Linked DNA regions of Callithrix jacchus. The protein of the gene in region 3 binds, or shares a complex with, the protein of the main gene of each other region. Links are inferred from orthologs where the notes say so. Each region holds a gene or a part of one and is shown on either strand. Other genes may lie near its edges.

What was found. The genes of interacting proteins can lie anywhere in the genome.
Region 1: E2F4 (region 3) and LIN52 share a complex: the UniProt entries of both Homo sapiens proteins name them as parts of the DREAM complex. The link is inferred for Callithrix jacchus from reciprocal best matches to the Homo sapiens genes E2F4 and LIN52.
Region 2: E2F4 (region 3) and LIN9 share a complex: the UniProt entries of both Homo sapiens proteins name them as parts of the DREAM complex. The link is inferred for Callithrix jacchus from reciprocal best matches to the Homo sapiens genes E2F4 and LIN9.

Annotation. Positions count from the first base shown.
Region 1 is NC_133509.1:109,031,724-109,035,470, reverse strand, and holds the start of LIN52 (protein lin-52 homolog), read right to left. Parts: upstream 2,875-3,747; 5' UTR 2,868-2,874; coding exon 2,837-2,867; intron 1-2,836.
Region 2 is NC_133520.1:22,938,956-22,942,702, reverse strand, and holds the start of LIN9 (protein lin-9 homolog), read right to left. Parts: upstream 2,851-3,747; 5' UTR 2,761-2,850; coding exon 2,682-2,760; intron 1,534-2,681; exon of another isoform or gene 1,300-1,533; intron 1-1,299. Other genes in the region: uncharacterized protein LOC144580374, read right to left, coding at 2,851-3,288. UniProt on the Homo sapiens protein: Acts as a tumor suppressor. Inhibits DNA synthesis. Its ability to inhibit oncogenic transformation is mediated through its association with RB1. Plays a role in the expression of genes required for the G1/S transition.
Region 3 is NC_133521.1:24,703,012-24,706,758, reverse strand, and holds the start of E2F4 (transcription factor E2F4), read right to left. Parts: upstream 2,541-3,747; 5' UTR 2,494-2,540; coding exon 2,359-2,493; intron 1,932-2,358; coding exon 1,822-1,931; intron 1,682-1,821; coding exon 1,520-1,681; intron 1,229-1,519; coding exon 1,185-1,228; intron 315-1,184; coding exon 253-314; intron 18-252; coding exon 1-17. UniProt on the Homo sapiens protein: Transcription activator that binds DNA cooperatively with DP proteins through the E2 recognition site, 5'-TTTC[CG]CGC-3' found in the promoter region of a number of genes whose products are involved in cell cycle regulation or in DNA replication.

The DNA.
Region 1 (3,747 bases), on a different chromosome or scaffold from region 3:
TAATCCCAGCTATTGGAGAGGCTGAGGCATGAGAATCACTTGAACCCAGGAAGCAGAGGTTGCAGTGACCCAAGATGGTGCCATGGCACTCCAGCCTGGATGACAGTATGAGACTCCATCTCAAAACAAAATAAATAATAACAAAAATAAATTAGCTGGGCATGGTGGTGTGAGCCTGTAGTATCAGCTACTTGGGAAGCTGAGATGGAATGATAGCTTAAGCCTTTCAGTGTGCTGGGAGCTATAATCATACCACTGCATTTCAGCACCGGCAATAGAGTGAGAGAGACCCTGTCTCTAAAAGAAAATTTAAAAAAAAATCATTGAGGGTAGGATCTATAACCTACACCGGTGACCTTATGATACCACAATCTGGGACAGAACTCTGCTGTGAGTCTTACTCTCACAAATTAAGTAATTAGATGGCTGTATTTGAATTTCAGTTTTCTCCTTTTCAAAGAAGTTCCAGCAAATTTAGCATGAAAAAGACAAAAGAGTAAATAAAAAACATTTTTAAATCAATATTGTTTGAATTAAATTTTAAAGACAGTGACAGGTGGAACACTAAAAATAGAAGTGAGAGAGCTAGGCCATGGAATATTTTAGAATGAGTTACTTATTTAGAAGATGAATTTAATTAAGTTCAAAGTGCTCGACTTGATTTTGTCAGATTAAAAAGAAAAGATTAGGTGGAGAAGAGTGAAACTCTGTAAGAGATAAGAATGAAAACTTAAAAAATAAAGAGTGCAAATAAAGTGACCATAAAGATGGCTAGAAGACCAAAGGAAAAACATACAATGTTTTTAATACTCTTCCTGGCCAAAGAAAGGAAACTAAATTGAGAAGACAGGGGAAAAAATCCAACTCAAGAAACACATCTTTAAAATCCCCCAAATCTGTAAAAACAATTTAAAAATAAACTAAAAAATTTAATAACAATTACCTCTACTTCTATCACTTGGCTTTGTTATTTTAAATTGTGGTGAAATATACATAAATTTGACCATTTTAACAACTTTTAAGTATACAGTTCAGTGGTATTAAGTACATTAATTGTGCAATCATCAGCACATTCATTTCCAGAATGTTTTTCACCTACCTAAACTGAAATTTGGTACCTGTTAACAGTAACTCCCTATTCCCTCGCCTTGCTTTTTAAATGCCCTTCTTTCTGGCAAGAGAAGGACATTTCAGCAAGAGAGCACCCAGGCAGGAGACTCTCTTTTGACTCCAAACATCCATAATTTCTTTTTTGTTGTTGTTGAGACGGGGGTTTCGCTTTGTCACCCAGCCTGGTGCAGTGGCATGAACATGGTTCACTGCAGCCTCCACCCCAGGGCTCAAGAGATTCTCCTGCCTCAGCCCCCCAAGTAGCTGGGATTACAGGTGTGTGGCACCATGCCCAGCTAATTTTTGTATTTTTTTTTTGTAGAGACTGGGCTTCATCATGTTGTCTAGGTTGGTCTTGAACTCCTGAGTTCAGGCAATCTGCCCGCCTCAGCCTCCCAAGATCTTAAAACTTAAGATCAAGTAATATATTATTTCTGCATATATCTAATCAATCTTTCAATAAATGCTAATTAAAGACCTACTGTTCACCAGGCACTGTGCTAAACCCTGGGATCCAACTATAAACAAGACAAACTTGAAATTTATAATCTAGCATAAAAGGGGCAAAGTTAACAGAATTACTATGCTGACAAGGAAGACACTGAGATAATGAATAATGGTGGGGAAGAGCGACTCCAGATCCTGTGTTCTAAGAGACTCTTTGGGAGGTGACATCTAAAAAAAGATCTGAAATTGAAAAAAAAATATTTATATGTTTGAGTAATCTTTTGGAATCTCAAAGCACCTAGCATTATGCGTTTCATGTAGCAGGTACTTAATAAAGCTCACCTTGGCTTCAATTTCCTCATTCCTGTAATGAACTTTCAAGATTCCTTCCAAATACAAAATGTGTTTGTCTAAGGGAGGGAAACCTATATATCAATGAAATCGATATATATAGTTGGGATGGGAACGACAGAAACAAAAATGAGTTTAAAAATGACTGCAAGACCCTAACTCTCTAAAGCAGAACCGAGACCAAAAGCATAGGAATATACCAAGACAACCTAATTGTTACTTGAAATGACTTGCATTTTACAATACATAAACAGAAATCGTTCATTCACTCAGCCTGAAGAAACAACACAAAAAGCAGATGCAAAAGAGGTTGCGACCTGTGCAAGACAACACTTAAAAGCTCAATACTCATTCTCCTCGCGACTCTCACGGTGAGGGGCCGAGAACGTCCCCCGATTATCTTGCTGCCACGGCAGTGGTCCCAAACAAGAGACAGGAGAGAGATCATGTTTCTCTTGCGGTTCAGTATCGAGATGAGGTCAGCCAGCAGCCACTGCTAGAGTTTGTGAGAATCGTTCCATCCCTGCGCTCAATCAGAAGAAAACTGATCCCTCAGTGTGATACTCCAAGGAGGAGACTAGTTTAAGGCACGTCCTTTCCTCCACTAACATCTCCTCCGAGGCTCTCAGCCTCACCCAAATAGAGACAAGGAAGGATCAGGGCAACCCCCTGTCCTTTTACCCAAAGTGAGTCCCTCCCTGGTGCCCTCCTCCACACGCCTGGTACAGAGCGGGGAAACTGGGCACCTCCGGAGCCGCTGTGAAGAACCAGTGAGCTGAAGACGGCGATGGATCTCAAGAAAAAAAGTAAAAGGGAAAGGAGAAGAGCCCAAGAAAGAAATGTATGTTTGAGGGGCAGAGACAGAGTAGACGTTGCCGGTAGAGCAAAGAAGGAGGCTGCAGGCAAAGATCTACAAGCCGGCTCTTACCGTCTGTGGGAGACGCCATCTTCCAACCCATGTCACGTGACATGGCCAACCGTCGGCGGGAAAACGAGGATCCATAAGCCACTCCCCCAAAGAGAAACCCTATCCCCAACTCACAGCCTAGTCTCATTCCCTCGCCTCATAGGGCAACATTTGCCTATCCCCGCCCCTAATTATAGCCACGCCCCTCGCGCAGTTGTTGAGGTGGAGCGACTGCAAAATTCTTGGAGGGTCTTATTTACTTTTCTCGGTGAGAGGGCGGGGCCTCGGTTGCGCCCTTGGCCAATCGGAGTTCCGGGTTAGGGGGCGTCTTCCCCGTGTGCACAGTATGGAGTGTCCAAGTCAGGGGCGTCTTCTCTACCTCCGCCAACAGCATTGGCTGAAGTGGGAGAGGGCGAGACCTTTTTCGCTCCTGACCAATCACTTATTCACAGGACTGGCGTGTGAGGGGCGGAATCAGGTGTTGGTTCGCGTGACTGGCTGGAAAAAATAGTCCTACCCACCAATGAGGAAGCCAGTCAGGATGGAGGGCGAGGCCTGGCAGCTGTAGTGCTTCTGAGCAGTAGAGGCGCAGGGTGCGGAGCTAGGGAGGCCGAGAGCCATGGCGGCGGTGGTGGCGGCGGCGGCAGTGCGAGCCCGGATCCTGCAGGCGAGTGAGGGTGGTGCCAAGGGACCATGAAGCCAGGACTTAGATCTTTTCCGTCCACTCCGTGAACCATCCTCGGGCGGGACCACCTTTTTGGCCCAGCCCCTTTTTGGCCGGACCTCGTGTTCCTACGCGACCTGTGCGGCCCTGTCCCATGCGCAGCTCTCACTTCATACCCTACCTCGTCCCGGATCCCACCCGAGCTGTTACTCTTGGCCTTACACCCTTTTACTCCTGAGCCTCCTCTTTTCTGGCTCTCGCCCACTCT
Region 2 (3,747 bases), on a different chromosome or scaffold from region 3:
CAGTGGAACCATTCATTAATACAGGAATCACTAGAAGTATCTGTCCTGGGGTGGGAATGAGGTGGATTTTGAACCTGTGCAGTTTTGAGGGGCCTTTGAAGCATCTAAGAAGAAATGTGAAATAGGCAAGACATCAAAAAAGGAAGCTCAGGAAAGATCTGGGCTGAAGATAGCCTTGATTTCATCATATAAAATGTGAGTACTTACAACAACTGAAATCAAGATTAAATGAGCAAAAACATATAATATGCTTTGCATGACATCTGGTTCACAGTAAATACTCAATAAATGGTAGCTTTCATTATTGATAATGTATCAACTACTGGATAAGGTATTAGCTAGCCCCCTTGACTAAATGTGGCCAAAAAACATACTTCTATTTCCAGTATCATATTGAAATTGCTTTTCCTTTTCAAGACCCGGCTCCAGTTTCATTAATAGTACCTGTTACTTTGTATTCAATTCCATAGAAATCAAGTATTTATGGATACTTGACTTGTGGCATTGTATGACAAACAATGAAAGAAAATCCCTGGTTTCAACAGAGCGGAAGTCTGGCTAAACAAGACATATGCTTCACAAATACACACCAATGTACCAGAGATGTCATAAAGCAATATAAGTGATTAGGTTATGTTAATTTTAGAGTGGAGCTGGAATTTGAACCCTAGTATAAATCTCAAGTTCCTACAAAGAACCACAGTAAATTGTCAATAAATGTTGGATGATATGAAGCAAATATTCCTGATGGCAATTGTAAGAAAGCCACTTAAAATGCCTATCATTAACCAAAATAGTGGCTCTAGTGATCATGACACCAAGAGGTGATAAGACATCTTTATGATAAAGATAGCAAGGATGATGAAAAACATTTTTGGATAACAAGAACACTGTGCTTAGTAGGTCTACACTCATTTGGGAACATTCTAAATCACAATCAATTGTATTCTACAAATAAACAATACAACTCATGGCTGGTCAACAGCTGTGCCCTATCCAATACAGTGGCCACTAGCTACATGTGACTATGCAAATTAAAATTAAATAAAATTCAAAATTCAGTTCCTCCATCCCTCTAGCCACATGAAATGTTCCATGGCCACATGTGGCTTGGCTACCTTATGGGATATCACAAAAGAAAACAATTCCATCACCGACAAAGTTCCTTTGGGACTTGGCGCTGCTTTCTATCAAATTTAAAACACAAACACTTTTAATACAACTTTTCACCAGCTTGGCAACTTAAATTTTTAACTTCATAACTTTTATTTTTTTGAGACGGAGTTTCGCTCTCGTTACCCAGGCTGGAGTGCAATGGCGTGATCTCTGCTCACCGCAACCTCCGCCTCCTGGGTTCAGGCAATTCTCCTGCCTCAGCCTCCTGAGTAGCTGAGACTACAGGCACGCACCACCATGCCCAGCTAATTTTTTGTATTTTTAGTAGAGACGGGGTTTCACTATGTTGACCAGGATGGTCTCGATCTCTTGACCTCGTGATCCACCAGCCTCGGCCTCTCAAAGTGCTGGGATTACAGGCGTGAGCCGCCGCGCCCGGCCCCTAACTTTACAACTTATTAAGAATACATGACCTCACAAAGAAAATGGAATCGGCAGTATGCTGAGTTCTCATTTGCCTTGTACACAGATAGATTCAATAGTGATTGAGCCTTTCGCAGATATGTATAAACTGAATAGTGAATGTGGATTCAGGACCTTTTTGTAATTAACTAACATATTTGATTTTTCATATAATTTATGCAATGCTGTAAATTACAAAATCAAGTTCCACTGCCCTTAAACTATGGAATTGGTGCTTTTACTTACTCAACACAAGTGAGCATACATGTCTTAGATGTCAGGGTGAGTAAACATGGTTAAATGAGGCAATGCCCTAGAGTGGGTGTCAGGGAGGGTACTGCACACGTACGCTGTGTTGGTCACATCCATGCAAAATAAAGGTACATTATGGCTCTTAAGACACATACAGAAGAAAGTCTTCGGGACGGGGGCTACCTGAACACTAAGTATCCGGGCTGGATGATCTCGGGAAAGGTCCACAGCCACCTGTGGTCCCAGGGGAAGGGGCTAACCCTCTGACACGGAAACACTTCTAGGGGTGGACACACCAGTGGGGTGGGGGGGGGGGCGGGCGGAGAGGACAGTGAAGATCAGAAGTGCTCGTAGAAGCAGGAGCTGTGACAGGACAACATCAGAGGCTGGGGCAAGAAGATGGGGCCGTGGACCACCCCGTGCCGAGCCCGAGCCCTCCCCCGGCCCCGGGACAGGCGAGTTACATAACCCCGGCGAGCGTCTCTCCGCGCCGGGCGAGTGGTGCAGGCGGCTAGGACAGCCCCCACGCCCGGGGGCCGCTCTAACCCCCACCTCGGCCGGGGGCAGGAGTCGGGCCAGGGGAGCAGCCACCGCCTCCGCCCGGCACAGGCTGGACTCCCGGGCTCTCGGTTTCCGGCCCTGGCGCTCACACAACCCTAGAAACCAACACACAGACACCATAACAAAGGCGGCGACGCGGCGGCAACACCGGAGTGGAAGGACTAGGAGACCACGGTGGAGTTGGCAGTCAGCCCACCTGCCCAGCGGAGGGCACAGCCGGCCGTCCCGGCCGGTGCAGCCGCGGAGCAGGCGGCGGGCGGGAAGTGGGGGTGCTTTGAGGTGCTACTCACTCTCGTCAGGCAACTGGTCGAGCTCCGCCATCTTGAACGAGCCGCGCCGCTTTTTCAAAGGCTGCCCGCCGCAGTGCATTGTGGGGCGGAGACTGTCTTTGCGAGGGAGGTTCGAATGCGGAGCTCGCTGCCCGCGGCGCCGCGCTGCGTTGCTCCCGCCGCAGCCGGCTTAGGCGGGCTCGGCTCCGTCCGCGCCTGTCCGGGGAGGAGGTGCCACCGAGGGGGGGCCGCGCCTTTCCCCTCCGCCGCCGCCTCCAGCTGAGCGGGCGGGAGGAAGGAGGCCGCGCGGAGAAGCCCGGCGCCGGAGCGCGGGGGGAGCAGCGCCAGCTCCGGAGTCCCGCCCGGGCCCCGCGCCCGTCGCGTGTTCCGCGGCCCGCGCTGCAGCTGTGGGAACTGCAGGTTGTTTGTTCCGATTGGAGAACGGGAGGGAGGCCCTGGCAGGGGTAAAGAAGCCCTCGGTTCTGGGTGTCATTGCCCTAGGGGGCTGTACGCAAAGTGAAATATTCACGGTTCCCGAAACCCACGTTGCTCGGGCGCCTCCCTCTTCCGGAGAGCTCTGGCCGCAGCAGACCCCTGCGCGTCGCGACCTTCGGGCCCCGCGGTCCATCGCGAGCCCGGGACGCCTCTCCCGAATGTTGGAAGCTGAGCTGTATGCAGCCGTGGAGCGAGACCTTGAGAGGTCATGAAGTTAGTCATTTAGGCCGACAGCTGAAGAACTGTTCTGCTCTGCTCTTTCATCCATTCCACACTAGATCGTGCAATGGGCTGGGAGAGAATTAGGAAACGAATAACAGGAGGCTTCGAGAGGATACAGAAAGGAACAGTGACACTACAAGGTGATAAAGTACCTGATCCAAATGTTATGAGAATACTGGACGAGAATTCAACGAAATTGAAAGAAGCCCAAGGAAAAATTTCACAATTTCTGTCTGTAACACTTTCCAGTAATAGAATACTGTTGCTTTTGAAAAATTCATTTAACAAATGTCATTGAGCTCCAATTCTTTTCTCTAGGAACTTACGGGAGTTGGAGGAATGAGACAGTTAAGCAGTCAAAAGACAACTT
Region 3 (3,747 bases):
TTCTGCCCATTGAGACCCTAGAGATGGGTGGCAAGGGATGGGAGATGGGTAGAATTGGAAGCACGCTTGTGGTCCTGACTCCTGCCCAACTCTTGAGTCAGGACCACAGTATCCTCTCCCACCCAGGCTGCCCATCCTCCCAGATAACCCCGAACTCCAGGCCTCCCCCTACCTGCCCCACCCGGGACTTATCAGACTCCACAGCCAGCACCCGCCCTCAGCTGACCCCGCCTGCCTAGGCTAAGCACCCACCTCTGGGATGGGCACCTCCAGGCTGGTGCCTGATGGGGCCCGGATGGCCAAGAGGGTATCTCCTAGAATGACAGAGAATGGGTCAGAGCCCATAGGCTAAATCTGAGCTGGGAACAGAGGTGCCTGCCTTTTGGAGCAAGGCAGGAGATCATAGTCTCTGAGGGGCTAGTCAGTGGGTCTCACCAATCCCCTACAGTGGCTGAGCAGAACTAAAGCTCTTCTCTTTCTGAGGGTCAGTAACCAGGAAATCTGAGTTCAAGTATGTGGAGTGAAAGATCACTGGCCACAGGCACCTCACTCCACCAATGGCTGATCCCTAGGTGAAGGTGTTCTAGCCAAGGCCAACATCCCTTTCCCATGACCAGCCTTGGGGATGCAAGATGGAGAAGAAACACATCTGTAGGGCACAGTGGCTCAGGCCTATAATCCCAGCACTTTAGGGGCTCAAGCCAGTTAGACAGCTTGAGCTCAGGAGTTCAAGACCAGCCTGGGCAACATAGCGAGACCTTGTCTCTTTAAAAAAAGAAAAAGGAATAGATCCTGTATTCACAATACAAGTAAATAACAGGTTGGAAGTGGGCACCCCCATACCCTGCATACGAGCACGTAAGAGTCTGCACACAAGCAAATACACACATATCCTCTCTCCCCCTCTTCTCCCTTGTGCCTCTGTCATGCCCAAGAAGCCAAATCCAGGTAACAGTGCATATGGGAACAAACCCAGGGACTCACTCCAAAATTCCTGTACCCTCTCAGTACAGCTGACCTCCACAGGGTCCCAGTGCCCCTCAGACAGAAGACTTACCCTGCCTGGGTCCTCTTTGAGCAGGCCCCAGAAACCCTCTTGAGAGACACTCAAGAGACAGTGTCTCCTGAGACACTGAGCCCAGTGCCCCAGCCCACCCCCTTGTCCCTACCCAGGCTCTGCTCACCAGCAAAGCATCTGCAGATGTCCTCATGAGTGACGTAGGCCAAAGTGTGAGGGTTAAGGAGAATGGCCCTATGGTGACAGACGGCAGACTACAGAGAAGACCCAACTCTTTAGCCAAAGTCTGACACATAGGCCCTCGGAGAAAGTTCTGGGGACTGGGGTCCACCTGGGGAGGGATCACAGGCTAAGACTGGGAAGGGGCTCTGAGGAGGGAGCCTGAGGTTGGGACACGGCTAGGGGCTACAGGACAAGCTCCCAAGAGGGAGAGGGCTCAGGGCAAGTTGAACCAGAGGGCCCCTTGCCCACTCGCCACAGCAGAGACCGTCAGGAGGATATCAGCTGTTCTGCACGTCCTCTGTGACATTCCGGATGCTCTGCTGCACCCACACCTTGTGCTGGTCTAGTTCTTGCTCCCGCTGTTGCAGCTCCTCGATCTCTGCCTTGAGCTCAATCAGCTTGTCGGCAATCTCCCGGGTATTGCAGCCAGGCCCCACACCCCTGAGCCCAGGGAGTGGGGCCAAGAGGAACTGCTGAGAACTCTGGGTCCCACGGCCCCTGCTTTCTTCCACATCCTCCACCCCACACCCCTGACACTTCTGGGTGGGAGACTCTACTACCCTCCCACTATCCCCACTCACTTCCACTGGATGCTGTTCTTGGACTTTTTCTCGATCAGTCCGATACCTTCCAAAACATTGGTAATGTCATAAATCCGCCGCTTCTGGCGTACAGCTAGGGTGTCAGCTGCCTGGCAGACAGAATAGAGAATGATCAGCTCCACTCTCGGGTGTACCCCCAGCCACCCTGAGACGTGGTCTGGGAAGGGAGTAACCTGGGTTCCAACCCTGTAGTGCCTCTCAGGTGCTACTGCAGCTCAGGACCGCAGGGTGAGAAGAGACCTGGCGCACAGCCCTGAACTGGTGTTCTGAAGCTCTTCTCCCAGCCAGCCAGGAAGGGCCACGAGGACAAACACCTGCAGCCCCGAGCCTGGCCCATAGCTGTCGCTCAATGGCCTCGGCTGAATGAATGAAAGATCCCCCGGCCTCTCTCCTGTGAGAAAGCACACGATGGCGGCCAGCTCTCTGAGGACCCGGCCTGGCCGCCCCCGGGGTTCCCGCTACCGGCTCAGGCCTTGTCCACCACCCCGCCTTGTCGTCCCTTAGCCCGGGCCGCACCAGCTTGAGGTCAAGCACGCCATCCTTGGCCTCCTGCAGAAGCGACACGAACTTGGTGGTGAGTAGTCCCAGGCTCTTTTCGTGCCGGCTTGGAGTGCCCGGGGGCGGCGGCGCCTGTGGCCCGGCCTCCGCCATCTCACCCGCCCGCCGCCTCCCCTCAGCCAGGCCAGGCCGGCGCCGCCGCCACTTCCGCTTCCGTTCCTGCCCTCCTAGCCGCCGGAGCCAGAGTCGTTTCTTCCGCTTCCGCCGCATGTCCCTTCTAGGGAACGCGGCGCTATTTTTGTCTGAAGGCGCAGCCGCAAAAGTTTAGGGACCATTAGCAAATGTCCAGCCGCCTAATAAGACGAAAACTACTTAGGTATACCGGGAGTTGAGGATGAAGTTGGGGAGGAATGAGGAGGATGTCAGTTGGCAGCCCTGGCAGTAGAGAAAGGGGCGCCATCGGAACTTTCCTTGCCAATTTGCCCCAACATCACCAACTCTGTGCAGTACCCATCTCGGGAGAGGAGACCACACTACCCAACTAACCCAATCTGTTCCCTCAAACCTGTTCCTTTTTTTTGTTTGTTTTCCTATTTATTTAGAGACGGAGTCTCGCTCTGTCACCAGGCTGGAGTGCAATGGTGCAATATCGACTCACTGCAACCTCCCCTCCCGGGTTCAAGTGATTCTTCTGCCTCAGCCTCCCGAGTAGCTGGTACTATAGGCACGCACCACCAAGCCCAGCTAATTTTTGTTATTTATATATATATATATATTTACATATATGTAATTTACATATATATACGGGTATATCTATAGAGAGAGTTTTTTTTTTTTTTTTTTTGATACGGATCTTCGCTCTCGTCACCCAGGCTGGAGCACAATGGCACAATCTCAGCTCATCGCAACCTCTGCCTTCCGAGTTGAAGCGATTCTCCTGCCTCAGCCTCCCAAGTAGCTAGGTTACAAGCCCACACCACCACACCTGGCTAATTTTGTATTTTTAGTCGAGATGCGATTTCTCCATGTTAGTCAGGCAGGTCTCACTCAAACTCCTGACCTCAGGTGATCCACCCACCTTGGCCTGCCAAAGTGTTTGGATTACAGGCGTGAGCCACCTCGCCCGGCCATTTTGTTATTTTTAACATTGTTGTTTCTTTCAGGTCAGGTTCTCTGGGAAATGGGACTCATTTTGCAGCAAGTTTGTTGGTGATCCACACCTGTTTTTTGAGGTAGGGTCTGAATTTGTTTGTTGCCCAGGCTGGAGGGCAGTGGCAGGATCAATGCAGTCTCAGCTTCCTGGGCTTAAGCAATTCTCCCACCCCAGCCTCCCAAGTAGCTGGGACCACAGGCATGCACCACCACATCTGGCTCGCTTATTTTTAGTTTGCTTTTGTTTTTGTTTTT